Tribolium castaneum: one gene and its partners. The main gene of each other region encodes a partner of the protein of the gene in region 2 in a complex. Links are inferred from orthologs where the notes say so. Each region holds a gene or a part of one and is shown on either strand. Other genes may lie near its edges.

Region 1 (4,714 bases), about 4.2 Mb from region 2:
TTCGGCACTTTTAGAGCGTTATTCATTATTACTGAATATGTTGTGGGCAGACAAATCTACCTTGAGTCAACGACATAAACTTCAGTGAGATTGAAATGTATAAAGGGCAAAAATGAACTTTTCGTGTTAAACATTTTGATAAAAAAGGGCGTTTAATTGTTTATAAAGGGTGTGTTAACGAGTGTTAAGTTTACCAGGTAATAAAACATAATGTACAACAACTTTTCTATAAAAGCATTTTGCAAAATTTTTATTCATTATTTTCACTATTTTTCTCATTTCCTTTGTACAAACGAACCTGTGATATGAAATTTTGGTGTCAAAATTAGTAGTATCGCCACAAGTTGTGTTTTTAAATCTCCAGAAAATTCAGTTTTAAAAGTGAGGTTATGTTATCATTTGGAAATATGAAATCTTTCACTATTATGGATTTTGTGTCTGTTTCTGCTCTTTTAGAACGTTATTAATTATTATTAAATTGAATTGAAAGGCAGATAAATCTACCTTTGAGTCAATGATATAAACTTCAGTGTGATTTATTGAAATGTATATAGGGCACAAATAAACTTTTCGTGTTAAACATTTTGATTAAAAAGGGTATTTAATCGTTTATAAAGGGCATGTTAAGGTGTGTTAAGTTTACCACATAATAAAACATAAAGTACAACAACTTTTCTATAAAAGCATTTTGCAAAACTTTTATTCATTATTTTCACTATTTTCCTCTTTTCATTAGTACAAACGAGCCGGTGAATGAAATTTTGGTGTGAAAATTAGTGGTATTGCCACAAATTGTGTTAATTTTAGGTCTCCAGAAAATTCGGTTTTAAAAGTAGGGTTATGTTATCATTTGGAAATGTTAAATCTTTCATTTTTATGGATTTCGTGTTCGTTTCTGCTCTTTTAGAGCGTTTTTAATTTTGATTGAATATATTATGGGCAGATAAATCTACCTTTGAGTCAACGACTTAAACTTCAGTGTGATTTATTGAAATGTATATAGGACAAAATTGAACTTTTCGTGTTAAACATTTTGATTAAAAAGGGTGTTTAATCGTTTATAAAGGGCGTGTTGACGTGTGCTAAATTTACCACGTAATAAAACATAAAGTACAACAACTTTTCTATAAGAGCATTTTGCAAAATTCTTATTCATTATTTTTACTATTTTCCTCCTTTTCTGTAATAACTCATTCGCTTTTCGGGGGCCATTCTGAATACTGTAATGAATTTTTAAAGATAAAGTTTGCGAAATATGAAAATTTTAAAGAATTTTTAAAAATTCATTAAGATCTCAAGGGGACTTTATCCGAACATGATTTTTTTACAGTCGAAGGCCCTATCGAAGGGCTTAATCCCCTGCAAAAATAAAGAAAATTGCAGGATATAAAGGGGGTGAAAAAAAACAGTTTGCGTTGCTTGAATATGAGAATAAAAAATGCAGAAATTAAATACAGGAGATGTTCTACAAATGTGAGATGCAAGTCAGCGTAACAGCTTATTGATGTTTTTATAATGATTTACAATTATTTTGATAATTTGCCTGGTGTGAACTTGGCTGTAGAAAACGAGAATAGTGGGGACATGGTGCTAGCTCCATGCACGCAGCGATTGTCTGGTCGACTGTAATGTTCTTGGTGCCAGCACCATTTTTTTCTCTCTTATTCTATGTTCCCAACATAGGTTAAACTAACCTAAAAACTATGCTAAAAACACCAAAAAATAAAAGTTTGGATGTTGAACGCGTTTATTGATTTTGTGACATGAATGCCGATGTGGCCCCCACTTTGTAATTTTCTCACGAGTTGATGACCCAACTGGCGTGAAATATTTCACCCGTAAGATTAAAAAAATTCCAGGTTATATTTGTTTTGCCTACTAACAACATTCCAGCGATTTTCCAAAATGCTGAGCGTCCGCGTGAGTGCCTTCAATGAAAACGGTCTCGGAGAGCCCGAGCAAGACGCCAATTCGGCTTTAACCGAGCTTGACAAAGGTTCAAAGCGCGGTATTGAGTGCCTTCTTTAAAAGTGTCTTTTTAGGGCTCCGGTCCGGTAAAGTGGGCGAGCAATGCGAAGCAATTGTTCGTTTTCCAAAGTTATTCGAAAAATATCCTTTCCCCATCCTCATCAATGCGTCATTACTGAAATTAGCGGAAGTTTTTCGCATGGGGTACAACTCTCTACTGTAAATAACTCTATTTAATGGCACTGTTTTTAGTAACAATTTCCTAAGACTGTGCGTGTTGCGTGTGTGCCAACAAAGCGAAAAACATCTAGATAAGATTTCGAGTGTTGATGAGTTCGTTAGAAGGATTTACAGTGTGATTCATAGTAATGACCCTATTGCTCGTGCTGTGACGCTGAGGACGTTTGGGGCCGTGGCTGCCATCATTCCGGAGCGACAGCAAGTGCACCACAGTATTAGAAGCAGTCTAGATTCTCACGATAATGTGGAAGTCCAAGCTGCAATTTACGCCGCTATTCAGTTTGCCGCCCAATCAAAGTAGTAAAAGTTGCTCAGAATTCATTATTTTAACAATAATTTGTAGAACATTCGCCGTAAGCATGTGCAACAAAGTCTCTGACATGATCCAAGGCCAGTCAACGCCTGCCAGCATGAAATTACAATTAATCCCAATTTTACAATACATGCACCATGATACCAACACGGCTGCGATGGTGAGGACACTCTGTATCGATTTACTGCCAAGTTATCCAGCCAAAGACTTCGTTTTGGTCACTCTAAACACACTTACCCAGTTGGCAACGGCGACTCTAGTTGACGTCCCGAGTCAAGTAATTTCATTAATTTGTCTTCCAATATTCTCCAAAACTGTCTTTTAGGTCAATTTACTGTTGCAATATTTACGCAAAGACTTGGGGAGTGAAGTCAAGTCGAGATGTTTGCAATTTTTGTACCAGTTCGCCAAACCGGGGGCTCATTTGTGGCCCCCGGGGGCCACCAACAATATCATAGATTTTACTTTACACACGCATCAAGCCCGGTTATTAACCCTGGCTCTTGGTAAGACGATTTGAGGTCTTGTTTTGCAAACTGATTAATTGATGATTAGGTGTGATTCAAGTCTTGACTGAATCGCCCCGAATGTGTCATGATTATCGCGACAGCAATTCAAAATTGAGAGAATTGTGTATGAAACATTGTTATTCGTCACAGCCTACAGTCGCAGTGCAAGCTATACAAATTTTGACACAACTTTTATGCTACTGGTGAGTTTTCTCATAGGTACGGAGGGCAAAACTAAGGGGCGAAATGATGTTTAAAATCGTTGTCTTAAATTATTTGATGCGGGAATGTTAAGACTTAATTTTTTAGCAAGCTGTGAAACAAATAAAATTTGCCCAAACAAGAGATTTTTTTAATTTGAAATTTGTTCCATATTTATTTCAGTATCGAATTCGCCGTAATTTATTTATTAATAATTATAGAATTATAGAAGTTTTTTGAAGCTAAGGAGATGATAAATCTATAAATAAAAAATAAAATAAGTACAAGGTGTTAATAATACCATATACAGTGTGATTTTTAAAAAACGAGCTGCCCTGAGTATCAGAAAATAAACAAAAAATTAAAACATCCCGAGACAGGTCAATTTTTATTTAACCAGAGACACCTTTTAGTGTTTTATTTGACTCACTTTGACTTTTCAGCTTGATTTTAATTATGTTAATTAGCGTTTTCATACAAATTATAAAACTAATAAATTCAAATGATCACATGGTACAGACAACTCTTCAAAATACCTCAAATAAAGGTATTTTCAACTCTTATTAGAGATTGGAAATGTGCCATTAAATTTTTAGATAATAATGTAATCTTTCTAAAAAGAAAAAACTAAAGACTGACCCCTAAATCCGGATTGTTTCCTTTTTTTCTCCCTTGAAATCCTATCCAGTAGCATACACTAACCACAATCAACACACACTAGCCAACGAATTGTGTAAGAATATGGATAACACGTTACCAGTACAAAATATACTATTTGAGATAACTAATTATTACGAGGTGGAAAACAAAGAAGTTTGTCTGATTCACTGATTTTTGTTACGCCTACGTCACTTTTTTTTTGTTAAAACTTATTTGTTGAGCAAAAATTCCAGAGAAACCATTTTAACGAAATCTTAATAAGTATTTGTAATTACACTATTCTAATACACATTTAAAATAAAGGCAATTTTTCTGTATTTTTTTTTAATTATTTGATTCTTGCTTCAAATTAAATTGTCGTTTTATTGTGCAAAATTTTAAAACTGACTTTTACACCTGTCGCCCCCTAATAGTTTAGTCCTCCGTTACCCAGGAAGAACAAAAAACAGTCGTATTTTTAGCTACAAGGAGAAACTGGAGACTGAAAGAGCGGACGAAGTGATTTCGGCCCTCGAAACTTTAATTTTGCTTTTGACTTTTTCGAACGACAAACACCCAAAACAGCTCAAGCTGGCACTGAAATGTGCTGTTCGACTGTGCGAAGCGCGGAGAGAATATTGCGAGACGTTTGTGGAACTGCTCGGCACTCGCCTCGACAACATACACAGTATGTTATTTCAATTATGGTTCAAGAACAAATCAAATCGATTTTTTACAGACGACTGTACCATCGTCATCTGTGAGACTTTGGGGGCTATTGGGGGCCTCAAACCCGACACTTTACTCTCGCTTCTCGCCAGTATTCTCAACTTATTGCGCGCTT
Region 2 (4,837 bases):
CCGGCGGGGTATGTGCCCCCCAGTTTGGCCATTTCTGGGCTCTATTGGAAAGTTTGGCTCATTTTGCTGATCATAGCGGCTCATAATCCGGTCACTTTTGGGAACGAGGTCTGGAACAAATACCCAACGTTGCGCATGTTCATGGAAATGTGCATAACAAAGTTAGTATCTCTTGAAGGTCAGGATATGAAACGACGTACAAATAAAACCGTTGTTCCATCACAGTCAGCTCAACTTTTCTACATTTTTTTCCAAATAATTTGTGAATTTTTACTATATTTTTTGAGTGCGATTTTGTATCTCGTTTCGCTCCGACCTCCAATCCCCGTATACTTGACCCTAACTATCCCCATTTTAGTCACTTTTCGTTTCCCCCGCCCACCATGACCTCCCTGGACGAAGACTACCAGTCCCGCGAGCAGCAAATCCTCGCCCTTGAGAAGCAAAAAATCCTGGAATTTGAATCACACCTCGCGGCCGCGAGCACTAAAATGGAAATCACCGAACAGAGCAGTCTCCTATTGCCCCAATTAATGGAGTTGCGGCCTGAGGGCGAAGCCCGAAGGCCCCCCCAAGCCGTCCTCGACCAGCTCCAACACTTGAACAACACGCATCGCATGGGACATTTATTGTGCCGCTCGCGGAACCCCGATTTTCTATTGGACATTATGTCGCGGCAAGGGGGCACCGCGCATATGCCGTGGCTGGCCGAGCTGGTGCACAATTCGGAGGGGGCGTTGGCCCACCTGCCTGTGCAATGTCTGTGCGAGTATCTCCTGTCGACGACACCGACGGAGAAATTGACGAAACATGGCCAGCTTTTGGCGCATTTGCGGACGGTGGTTAATGAGAATGATCCGCAGACTGCCTGTGAGGTTTTGGAGTATTTGTTCAGGCGGTTGACGTCCGATCATGGGGCGAGTCGGACGCAGGCCACCAAAGGCTTGAATTTGATTTTGGCCGAAGGGGAGGAAAGCGAGACGAATAATACGAACTGGTTGACGAGTTACATAACACATTTTCCACACTTTACGATGATTAAACCAGTGCTTATACAGTTTTTGCGGCAAGCCTTGCAAATTGAGACAAATCCGGCGCGGGTTTCGAGTTATATCAATTTTTTGGCAACGCAGGATTGTAACGATTCGTTTACGGAACTGCACGAATTAATCGCCGATTTATCGTCGGTTATTATCGAGAGACACAGCGTGGCTTCGTACGTGTTGCCAGGGCCGGACAACCAAACTTTGAAGCACCTTTTGACCATTTTTGCGAGTCATATTCAGAAAGCGCAGGAATTCTCGGAGGATATTTACAGTTCGGTGCAAAACTACAGCGAGTATGTTTTGGTGACTTGGGTGACTGGGGAACAATGCCACATGCAGACTTTAGTAATACACGCAGCTATTGTGTTACTGACTTACGGTCCTTTGGAGAATTTTGAGCCGTTCGAGACTTTGTTAAATTTTTGGTTTCCGGCGAACGCCGAACAACCACAAGCCTACACACCTGATACAAACGAACGAACGTCGTATCTCCCTGATTGGATGAAACTGCGGATGATTCGGTCAAACGTCCCACGATTGGTTGACGCAGCCATTGAAAAATTAGAGCCGCCAAAGTTGGTCCTTTTTATACAATCGTTCGGAATACCGACAAATTCCATCAGTAAATTGCTGAGTACTTTGGACAAAGCCACACTTTTGGACCCGAAACTGGTCGTGGACTCAGTTTTGGACAAAACTTACATGATTCAATTGGTGGAAGTCCAAAACAAAAGAGGCGCAGTGGGTGGTGACACCTTTGTCAAGGCTATCGAGATGCAAATGCCCGTTGTACAAGACATTGATGTTAAAATCGAAATCGAGAGTAAAAAACAATTACCCAACTTAGTAAAAACCCAACAGATTGTCACAAATAGCGGCGATATTATCAATTTGTTGAATAATATTTTTAGCCCAAACTATGGCGGTTCGAAAGATCGGGACATTGTCACTGTGACCAAGGTAAAGGTAAAAGTCCGAGACAATTCATACGATTCCAATTTTAGATGGCGTTTGAGAAACAATCACTGGACGTTATTTTCAATTATTTGAAATCACTACCGATGAATTTCATAGCACCTGTGCTCCATAAACACAATTCGATTTCAACGCTTTTCCGCCTGTTATTTTCGTCAAAAGACCACCTCATTGACAAAATAACCATGGCTACGGTTTTCCTCAACCACATGACAGACGTTCACAATATTACTTATTCGGTTTTGAGGCAATTCTTAAACGAAAACGACCAAAAAGTCAAAACTGAAGAACAAGGCGAACGGAAATTGGTAAGTATGATATCGGAGGCGAAAACACAGGAAGAAAAAACTGACATGATGGTTGACTGGTTATCAACAATCCAACTGGAAGTGGCTTACTCGCAAAAACAATTGAAAGTGAGTGTTTTTTTTTTCAAAATCACGATCAATCGAATTATTTTATAGGAAGATTTGTTGTTTTCGCGCGACAACTTGCCGTTTAGGCCGCTTCTTATGTCGCTGGTTTTGCAAAGGGCGAGTTGGCAGAGCCTCCACGTGATAATGAATTATTTGCTAAAAGAGGACAATTCGGACATTTGCCCTGTTTCCGCCCTTGATTTCCTCTGTGCCCTCACCCAGAGCCCGAAGCTGTGGCAGGGGCGCGATAAAGCCATTCCCAAACACCACCATTCGGAGGACGTTTTTGATTTGGGCAAAGACAAGGCCCTGATCCTTGTCGGTTATATTTTGGAGGAAAGCAAGCAAAACCAGGCAAACTGGTCGAAGAAAATGGAATCGCGGCTCGTCCTCTTACTGCAGTGTATCCGAAACTGCGCCCCGGAGATTTTGGGGACACTTTTGGAGAAGTCCGACTGTGATACGCACTGTCGGGAGCTTCTCTTGATGATTTACATGTCGCTGCCGTATTCCGGTCAAGATTTGATCAATAGCAAAGATAACATTTCGAAGCAGGCGTATGCGAAAAATTGTACGAGTTCAGCCGATGAAATCTCGCATTGTTTGTTGAGTGCGTTAGCAGCGACTCCGAGGAGTAAGGACTGGCCCCGGAAGAGCCAGGATTTGGAGCTTTGTGCCCGGAAATTGGCAGCGACACATCCGGTTTTGGTCCTGCGACAACTCCCGATGTTGGCCGGGAGTTTGAAAGGAAGGGCACAGTATGACTGGGGTGTTTTGAAAAATAGAGGACACTTGTTGCTGTTCGGACAAGTTTTGGGGCTTTTAGAACTGTTGGAGCCGATAGTTTTCGAGCAAAGTCGCACCTTGTGTGACATTCTAGATTCCTATTTTCTCCTGTTACAATATCACGGGCATATGAAAGATTTGTCGGTTCTCGTGCAAAGAATTATCACTTTTATACAAAACTGGATGACTAATGACATCAAGGCGGCGTCCCGCTATTTGCAAGAGCATGGCTCAGTTTTACTGTAGGTTTTTCAATTTTTTAAGTTGTGTCTAGAGTGTTTTTTTTAGTGATATTCAGATGATTCAACCAGGGGTGCGCCCCCTTCTCTCCAACGTGACTCTCCCGGTGGGGGATTCCAGCACTCCCCCCGAGCTACTCGTCCGTACTGCCATGTCCCCCATGATGGACCCCTTGCCCCCACATTGGTCCCAACTCCTCACAGCTATCCAGACTTCGGAGAATCTCAACATTTTGCAAGAACTGGACCACATAACAAACAAGAAACCGCATTTGCTCGAGACACCGTCTCAACACTTGTACAATTATATTAGTTCGTCTAGTGGGGCAGTGCGGTCGTTGGCTTTGACACTAATAGTGCGGTGGTTAAAATTTAATCCGAACGCAGCATCAGATGCACTTCCAGTGATCTTAACTTGTCTGGATAGTAGAAATGGTGACGTGGTCGCGAGTGTTTTGGACCGACTTTCGGACCTGGTTTCAGTTATGCAGGAGTATGGCAAGGTTATTCTGACCAGGGTTTTTCAATTAGGAATGGAATCGACGCTAAATACGACCAGTAACATTACCAAAAGTATTGATTTGTTGAATTTGCAATCGGGATGTTAAGTAGGTCTGATTTATTTTATTAAATATAAAAATTAAATATCCAAGTCTAAATCATCTAAATCCTCAAGGGATTCGAACATTTCTACATGCTTTGATGCTTTTTTAAACTTGAATTTTTTAACATTCTCCTCAGGTTCTAACATCGTGCTAGATTTAACATCCTTGAACGAAATTTCTAAATTTTCACACGTAGTTTCATCGGCAATAGGAGGTCGATCTTCTTTGGGAACAAACCGAAATTTATGCAAAAATTGGCGAGTTTTTGTCCGCTGTGAAGGCACTTGACTTGGTTCGGTTTCTTCGGGTTTATTTTGTTCAATCGTTACGCCAATTTCATTATCCATTCGAAAAATGTCGTTAACACTCGGCATGGCATTGAGAGCGGCTAGATCGTCCTTTATTTCGTTTTCCTTCGATTTTAGTTTAATCCTCTTCGGGTTCGGCGGATTCTCCCTCTTGTTTCGTTTCTTGTTTGAGACAGGTTCTTCCGTAATGTCTTTATTGACATTTTTCGTTATGTTTCGTTTATTTTTTATTATCTCTTCTTCATTTGCTATCGTAATACTTTCTCCTATTTGTTTTTTTCTGGTGTCTTTTTCATCTAATTCAATTTTATCTTTATTAACGTGCGAACTACTAGGCCTTGCGTCACTATTTTTGTTGTGAGCTGTGTTTATTTTTTCATTTTCATTAATCTTTGACGTGCTTGGCTGTGGCTCACAAACCTTAATTATTTTTTCAAACATTTTTGTATTTTTGTGAACACA
Region 3 (4,930 bases), on a different chromosome or scaffold from region 2:
TGTCTTTTAATTCTCCAAACATTTTTTCTAAATCTTCAAAACTAAAAGAGTTACCGACTTTTTAAGTGACAGGTGCAAATCCAAAAATTTTCAAAAAATCTTAAATATCTCGAAAACGGTTAAACTTAGGTATAGGGAAAGCTGATAAAAACGGCCTTAAAATAACTCAACTAATCCAAAAACGCAATAAAAAACATAGATTTCCATTTAAAATAAGAAAGTTAGTAGTAACTTCCGGTATAACCAAAAGTGCCACCATCTTGAAAATATTTTCAAGATTTTCATTTCAACTGAACTCAACGGATTTTGGCCGAGTACCAACTTTCAGATAAATATCTTTATTAGAACTTTGGGGTTTAGACGAAACACGCTGTGTATTCCATATCGAGTGCGATGTACACAATCACTCACCTGAAAGTGTACCAGTTTGGCCAACATCGTATCCGCGATAAAAACCTGGTGTAGATAACTACAAACCAACGACCTAACTTCCTGAAGTGCCCACTTTTGCCCCCCAATCGTACGATCCTCATCTGTCTCAATACAAGTTTCTAGTAGCATTTGAACAGCTGCACTTTCCTGTGCTGCAATGGTCGCCCGACACATCTCCTCTCTATCACTCTCATTTAAAACTTGCCCCGCATGATCCAATCTCGGATTAGCTTGCAAATGTTGCATTAGTTGGCTGCGAGACGACGCGAGACTTGCTCTCAACACCCTCAAAACAATCGCATATAAAGGGGCACAGCGAAAAACACGCTCATCGCATCGCATGATCTGGAGAGGATCCTCAGCGACATCGATTCGTGTCAGGTTTGAGAAATCATCGACTAGGTTTTTGACGGTTAGAACCCACAATCGGCGGGGAAGTACCGTATTAAAGCGTAACCATACGTCTCTGTACAGGTCTTGTAAGTAGCGTGGGACATTGTCATTTAGGATCTTGCGGGCGAATTGTGTGAAAATCTCGGCAAATGGCCATATATCTATGGCTTGCTGTTTGAGTAAAGTTTGCATAAGCTTGGCACACTTTGATGGGTTAGTGTCCAAGTCATTGAAAGCCTCAATGACGCTTATTTGCGTCACGTGGGTTGGCTTATGCTCCGTTTTGATGGACATATCGTCCAACCAATCCTCCACTAGTGTCAAGTGGGGGAAATGCGTAGCTAGGAGTTTGAGCAACGGCCCGAAAAGACCCGAATAGGAGCTTTGGTCTTTTTGGGCGTGGTGTAGCAAGTATTTGATTGGTAGTTCCGATAAAAATTCGGAACTATACAACTTGATTTTGCGGTTAAACGCGGCCAAAATGTGGGCGTTAACCAATCGACAGTCCTCGTACAGGAGGAGATAGTAGAGGAGGAGGAGTTGTGGGGTGAGACTTGTACCATCCACCACAACGTCCTGATTCTCACTATTTAGGTCAAAATCCATGGTAAAAATCGACTTTTTGTGGTCGAAATACTGTCCAAAGATCGAACTTTGAAACACGCGCCGTATCTCATTCTCACTCAACGGCTTATTAGTCTCAGTGTTCCGTGAGGTTGGCATTATAACACTGTTAACGTACACTTCCACTAGCATTGGCAACACTGGATGTAAGGGACTAACACTCGTACAGATCTGCTTATAGATCCAGTTTTTTATATTCACGTTGTGTTTGGCAAACGCGCGCGATTTAAGCAACTGATGGATGCAATGTATGGGTAAAAACCCGGTCATATTCGCACTTAACGAGTTCGTAACCGGAACCTTAACCGCATGTGCGGTTACAACTTGTTCCGTGAAAATCTCCTGCGTGAAGACTTGCTTCATCCTTGTCATGTTGTTATGTCTGATGGGGATTTTCATCCCCAAAGTGGCACACACCAAATCACAGATGGCACTCAACTGGTTACTATGAAAATGTATAGCCATCAGTAGTAACATTTCGCCAAAACTGGCAGTAACGCCACTGGCCGACTCAAAATACGCCTCCTCCTTCACCAACCATTGCACCCACTCGATGCTACGTCGCTCGTGCTCTTGCAGCGAAATCAGCGAGGGGCAGGCAATCAACATGCACAGACCAATGGAAACGAAGCGAACGCCCGCCGGGGTGGGGCTTGGGTGTGACGTCAACAGACGCACCAATGCCGTGACTTCATCCTCCTGAAACTTGATTGCTGCGATCCCGCGAAGCGCACAATAGAGGCGCAAGAGGGCGGAGCCTTGAACCACGAGACTGTCCAATAGGTGGCCTTCGACAGAAGCGGCGAGAATCACGTGCAAGCGACGTAACAACTCCTCCCTTAGTTGCAAAAGGGCGGTGCTTGAAATCTCCCCCTTCTTTTTCTGTCCAGTCCGGATAAATAACGCGATCCAGTTGCGTATTGTTTGGTCGTTGCCTAGCAACAGCCCGGAGATGAACGCCACCATGTCCCCCTCCCCGCCGTCCAGAGATAGTGTGATTGCGAGCGCGGGCATTCGGCACAATTCGACGCACTTGCTTCGGATTGTCAAAGCCTGGCTCGGATTCATTTTACAGAGGAGGGAAATCGTGGCGGCTCGGACTGTGCTCAGTTTGGTTTCTTCCTGTTTTTCCCCCGTTTGGATCAAGTAGGTGCAAACCTCTCGGAAGCAGTCGGGGAAGTTCGCCACGATTCGGCAAATGATGGGCGGGCCGTTGTGCAAGTGGAGGAGGGTTTCAGTGATTGTCAAAATGTTTAGAGTTATGGGGAGTTCAGCCAAGGCTATGCAGATAATATCGGACAATTCCTCGGCGAAAATGTCGTTGTCGAACAGTTCCGAGGGCTTGATGTAGCTCGTGTCCGAGTTTTCGTCCTGGATTTGGCTCTGGACGTAGAGTAGTTCCCCGAGTAAGATGCTCAAACGGCGGGTCATGTCGCTGCGTTCGTACTCCAAGGCCATGCTGGTGTTTGATAAGTTGCCGATCAGGATCGAGTCGTTCTGGAGGGCTACGCCCTTCTGGCGCAGCTGCTGCTCCTTCTTGACCTCGGTTTCCAGTCGATGGAAATCGATGGAAAGAAGGGCAACGATCGAATTGACCAGTTCCATCCCGGACACGATTGTGAGAATGTCGACCTTCATGGTGGTGCATTTTTTCGACGTGTCGAGGGGCGAGATGAGCCCCATTCGCACGAGACAGGGCAACACGGGGCGGATCTCCACCTCGGTGCATTCGGACAGCTGGTGCATGTCCACGTTTTGGATGGCGCGGAACACCTTGGGGTCCACGCCTTTCTTAAACGACATTTTCACGCACAAACCGGCTTTGTTTACGGCACTTTTGGGGTTATGTGCGCTCTCGCGACAGCGATCTACTTTACCGGCTCCGGCTTGACCACGATTTTGAATAAAACGATAATTAATACTTGATTGTTTTATTTATTGAGGCTGGTTGAGGGGTTTTGGCTTTAATTGCGCCCTTTGGGGGCATTCTACGGCTTGGATAGTCGTTAATTAATTGATAAGTGTGGTTATGTTTTTTGACAAGTGTCAACTGGCCTAACGTGTCTCAACTGGTCTGAACCTGCAGTTATTTTTTTTGTGGATTTGGGGCCAAATGACATGGTTGAATGAATAGATTGCGACGACTTTTTGGTTTTTGGTCTTGTGTTTATTGATTTTTTGGCACTAGGCCAATTTCCGGGCGCTAGAACATTGCACAATTTTGCTACATTTTCCCTTTTTTGCGTGTAAGAGATAATAAGGCCATTCGGTGGCTGGAAGGATGAATGAAAAAGCGGCTACTCCCAATAAAATTTATTAGAAAAAATGAATACACTACATTAATGTTGCTTTCTCCTGAAGCTGCAGCCCTCCGTGAGTCGGGCTTTGCCCCCGGTGGATGTGCACAGGATGGTGGAGCACCCTTTGCAGGGGACTGCAGACTGGGCATGGGAGAAGATGGTAGAGATGGCGTAACATCCTGGACATTTTACGTCCATGAAGTAACTATTGGGATGTTGCACCAACCTCTTCTTCTTATGCGATTTCTTCTGTTTTTCGGCAGAAGGGTGCAATAAATCGACTGCTAACGGCATCTGGAAAAACACAAACATTGCTCAAAATACGCCAAAATTTCACCACAAACACTTGACTAGGCATGTTTTTGGTCGTTTTACGCTTTTACGTACGTTTTTAAACGCTTGGGACACTCAAAAAGGCTGATTTTTTCCACAACGCACGTGGTGACTTCGGCTATCAACCGTGTAAAGGAAAGTGACAGATGACAGGCGGTACCACCATAACGCCGTCTTACCAACACAACGAGCCGAAAGAACCCGCCTTAATTGATAAATAAATAAATTATTGATTGACCATTTAACCGTGCGCCCCTTGGACTCAATAAAAACGTGGCTCTGACTTTAATGGGGGCCCATTAATTCGTAAAAAATGCAGCTGTCAGTTTTGACAGCTGACCTAACCTTGGAACCACTTACGGAATTTTTACTAAACAATTTAATAATCAACGAGCAAAGTACACGTCCGTGTAGTTTACAGTACATCATGTTCGTTTTCACGCGAATTGTGGCCCAAAATGGTAATTTTTACCTAATTCGTCTAAATTTGTTTATCCACGGCCGTCTTGATTGCAGTCAAATCGCGGGGCATAGCCTCCCTGGCAGCCCTCTCTGAGACGCACCAAATGTTGCAAAAGACCTGTCGCGACTTTGCCGACAACGAGCTAAAGCCCATCGCGGCGAAAATCGACCGTGAGCACCTGTACCCCAAAGAACAGATCCGCAAAATGGGCGAATTGGGGCTCATGGCCGTGGCCGTCCCTGAAGAATTCGGGGGCACGGGCCTAGATTACGTGGCGTACGCCATCGCCATGGAGGAGATTTCCAGAGGGTGCGCCAGTGCCGGTGTTATTATGTCTGTTAATAATTCGTTGTATTTAGGGCCGATTCAATATTTCGGAAATAAA

What was found.
Region 1: the proteins of IntS1 (region 2) and defl are in contact, whole or in part, in a cryo-EM structure (PDB 8RC4), measured with the Homo sapiens proteins. The link is inferred for Tribolium castaneum from reciprocal best matches to the Homo sapiens genes INTS1 and INTS7. Residues at the interface, in NP_001073922.2 of Homo sapiens: Leu1378, Gln1381, Gln1382, Gly1385, Gln1386, Ala1389, His1429, Phe1430, Leu1431, Cys1433, Pro1434, Arg1437, Gln1438, Cys1440, Gln1441, Pro1476, Ala1479, Gln1480, Met1483, Leu1484, Gln1487, Arg1552, Pro1554, His1555, Leu1556, Glu1557, Glu1558, Pro1613, Ser1614, Gly1616; in NP_056249.1 of Homo sapiens: His150, Asp151, Leu187, Ala188, Thr189, Pro190, Val191, Lys194, Thr223, Ser224, Tyr225, Pro226, Ser227, Thr228, Asn262, Asp263, Pro264, Arg265, Lys266, Pro303, Tyr304, Gln349, Glu350, Cys352, Tyr353, His354, Asn355, Arg357, Ala360, Gln384.
Region 3: the proteins of IntS1 (region 2) and IntS2 are in contact, whole or in part, in a cryo-EM structure (PDB 8RC4), measured with the Homo sapiens proteins. The link is inferred for Tribolium castaneum from reciprocal best matches to the Homo sapiens genes INTS1 and INTS2. Residues at the interface, in NP_001073922.2 of Homo sapiens: Gly561, Ile562, Ala563, Trp564, Asp565, Lys566, Gly567, Ser982, His1055, Met1056, Thr1058, Pro1060, Glu1095, Arg1096, Thr1098, Ile1099, His1102, Leu1107, Arg1225, Ser1250, Phe1251, Gly1252, Ile1253, Tyr1285, His1288, Glu1291, Val1292, Gln1293, Glu1295, Arg1296; in NP_065799.2 of Homo sapiens: Pro40, Leu54, Lys69, Leu72, Arg73, Leu75, Ser76, Gly77, Val78, Glu79, Val81, Asn82, Val85, Gly125, Thr127, Leu128, Glu131, His132, Glu166, Val172, Tyr173, Glu176, Arg322, Gln325, Gln326, Arg329, Gly400, Lys402, Thr769, Met772.

Annotation. Positions count from the first base shown.
Region 1 is NC_087397.1:6,155,615-6,160,328, reverse strand, and holds the start of defl (integrator complex subunit 7), read left to right. Parts: upstream 1-1,643; 5' UTR 1,644-1,838; intron 1,839-1,893; 5' UTR 1,894-1,905; coding exon 1,906-1,996; intron 1,997-2,042; coding exon 2,043-2,172; intron 2,173-2,220; coding exon 2,221-2,505; intron 2,506-2,551; coding exon 2,552-2,798; intron 2,799-2,846; coding exon 2,847-3,027; intron 3,028-3,076; coding exon 3,077-3,233; intron 3,234-4,340; coding exon 4,341-4,558; intron 4,559-4,609; coding exon 4,610-4,714. UniProt on the Homo sapiens protein: Component of the integrator complex, a multiprotein complex that terminates RNA polymerase II (Pol II) transcription in the promoter-proximal region of genes.
Region 2 is NC_087397.1:1,922,813-1,927,649, reverse strand, and holds the end of IntS1 (integrator complex subunit 1), read left to right. Parts: coding exon 1-161; intron 162-358; coding exon 359-2,006; intron 2,007-2,050; coding exon 2,051-2,437; intron 2,438-2,485; coding exon 2,486-3,465; intron 3,466-3,511; coding exon 3,512-4,070; 3' UTR 4,071-4,102; downstream 4,103-4,837. Other genes in the region: DNA helicase MCM9, read right to left, coding at 4,103-4,837. UniProt on the Homo sapiens protein: Component of the integrator complex, a multiprotein complex that terminates RNA polymerase II (Pol II) transcription in the promoter-proximal region of genes.
Region 3 is NC_087401.1:16,828,600-16,833,529, reverse strand, and holds the start of IntS2 (integrator complex subunit 2), read right to left. Parts: upstream 3,369-4,930; 5' UTR 3,253-3,368; coding exon 412-3,252; intron 1-411. Other genes in the region: RpS27 (small ribosomal subunit protein eS27-like), read right to left, coding at 3,789-4,043; Arc42 (short-chain specific acyl-CoA dehydrogenase, mitochondrial), read left to right, coding at 4,396-4,543, 4,599-4,930. UniProt on the Homo sapiens protein: Component of the integrator complex, a multiprotein complex that terminates RNA polymerase II (Pol II) transcription in the promoter-proximal region of genes.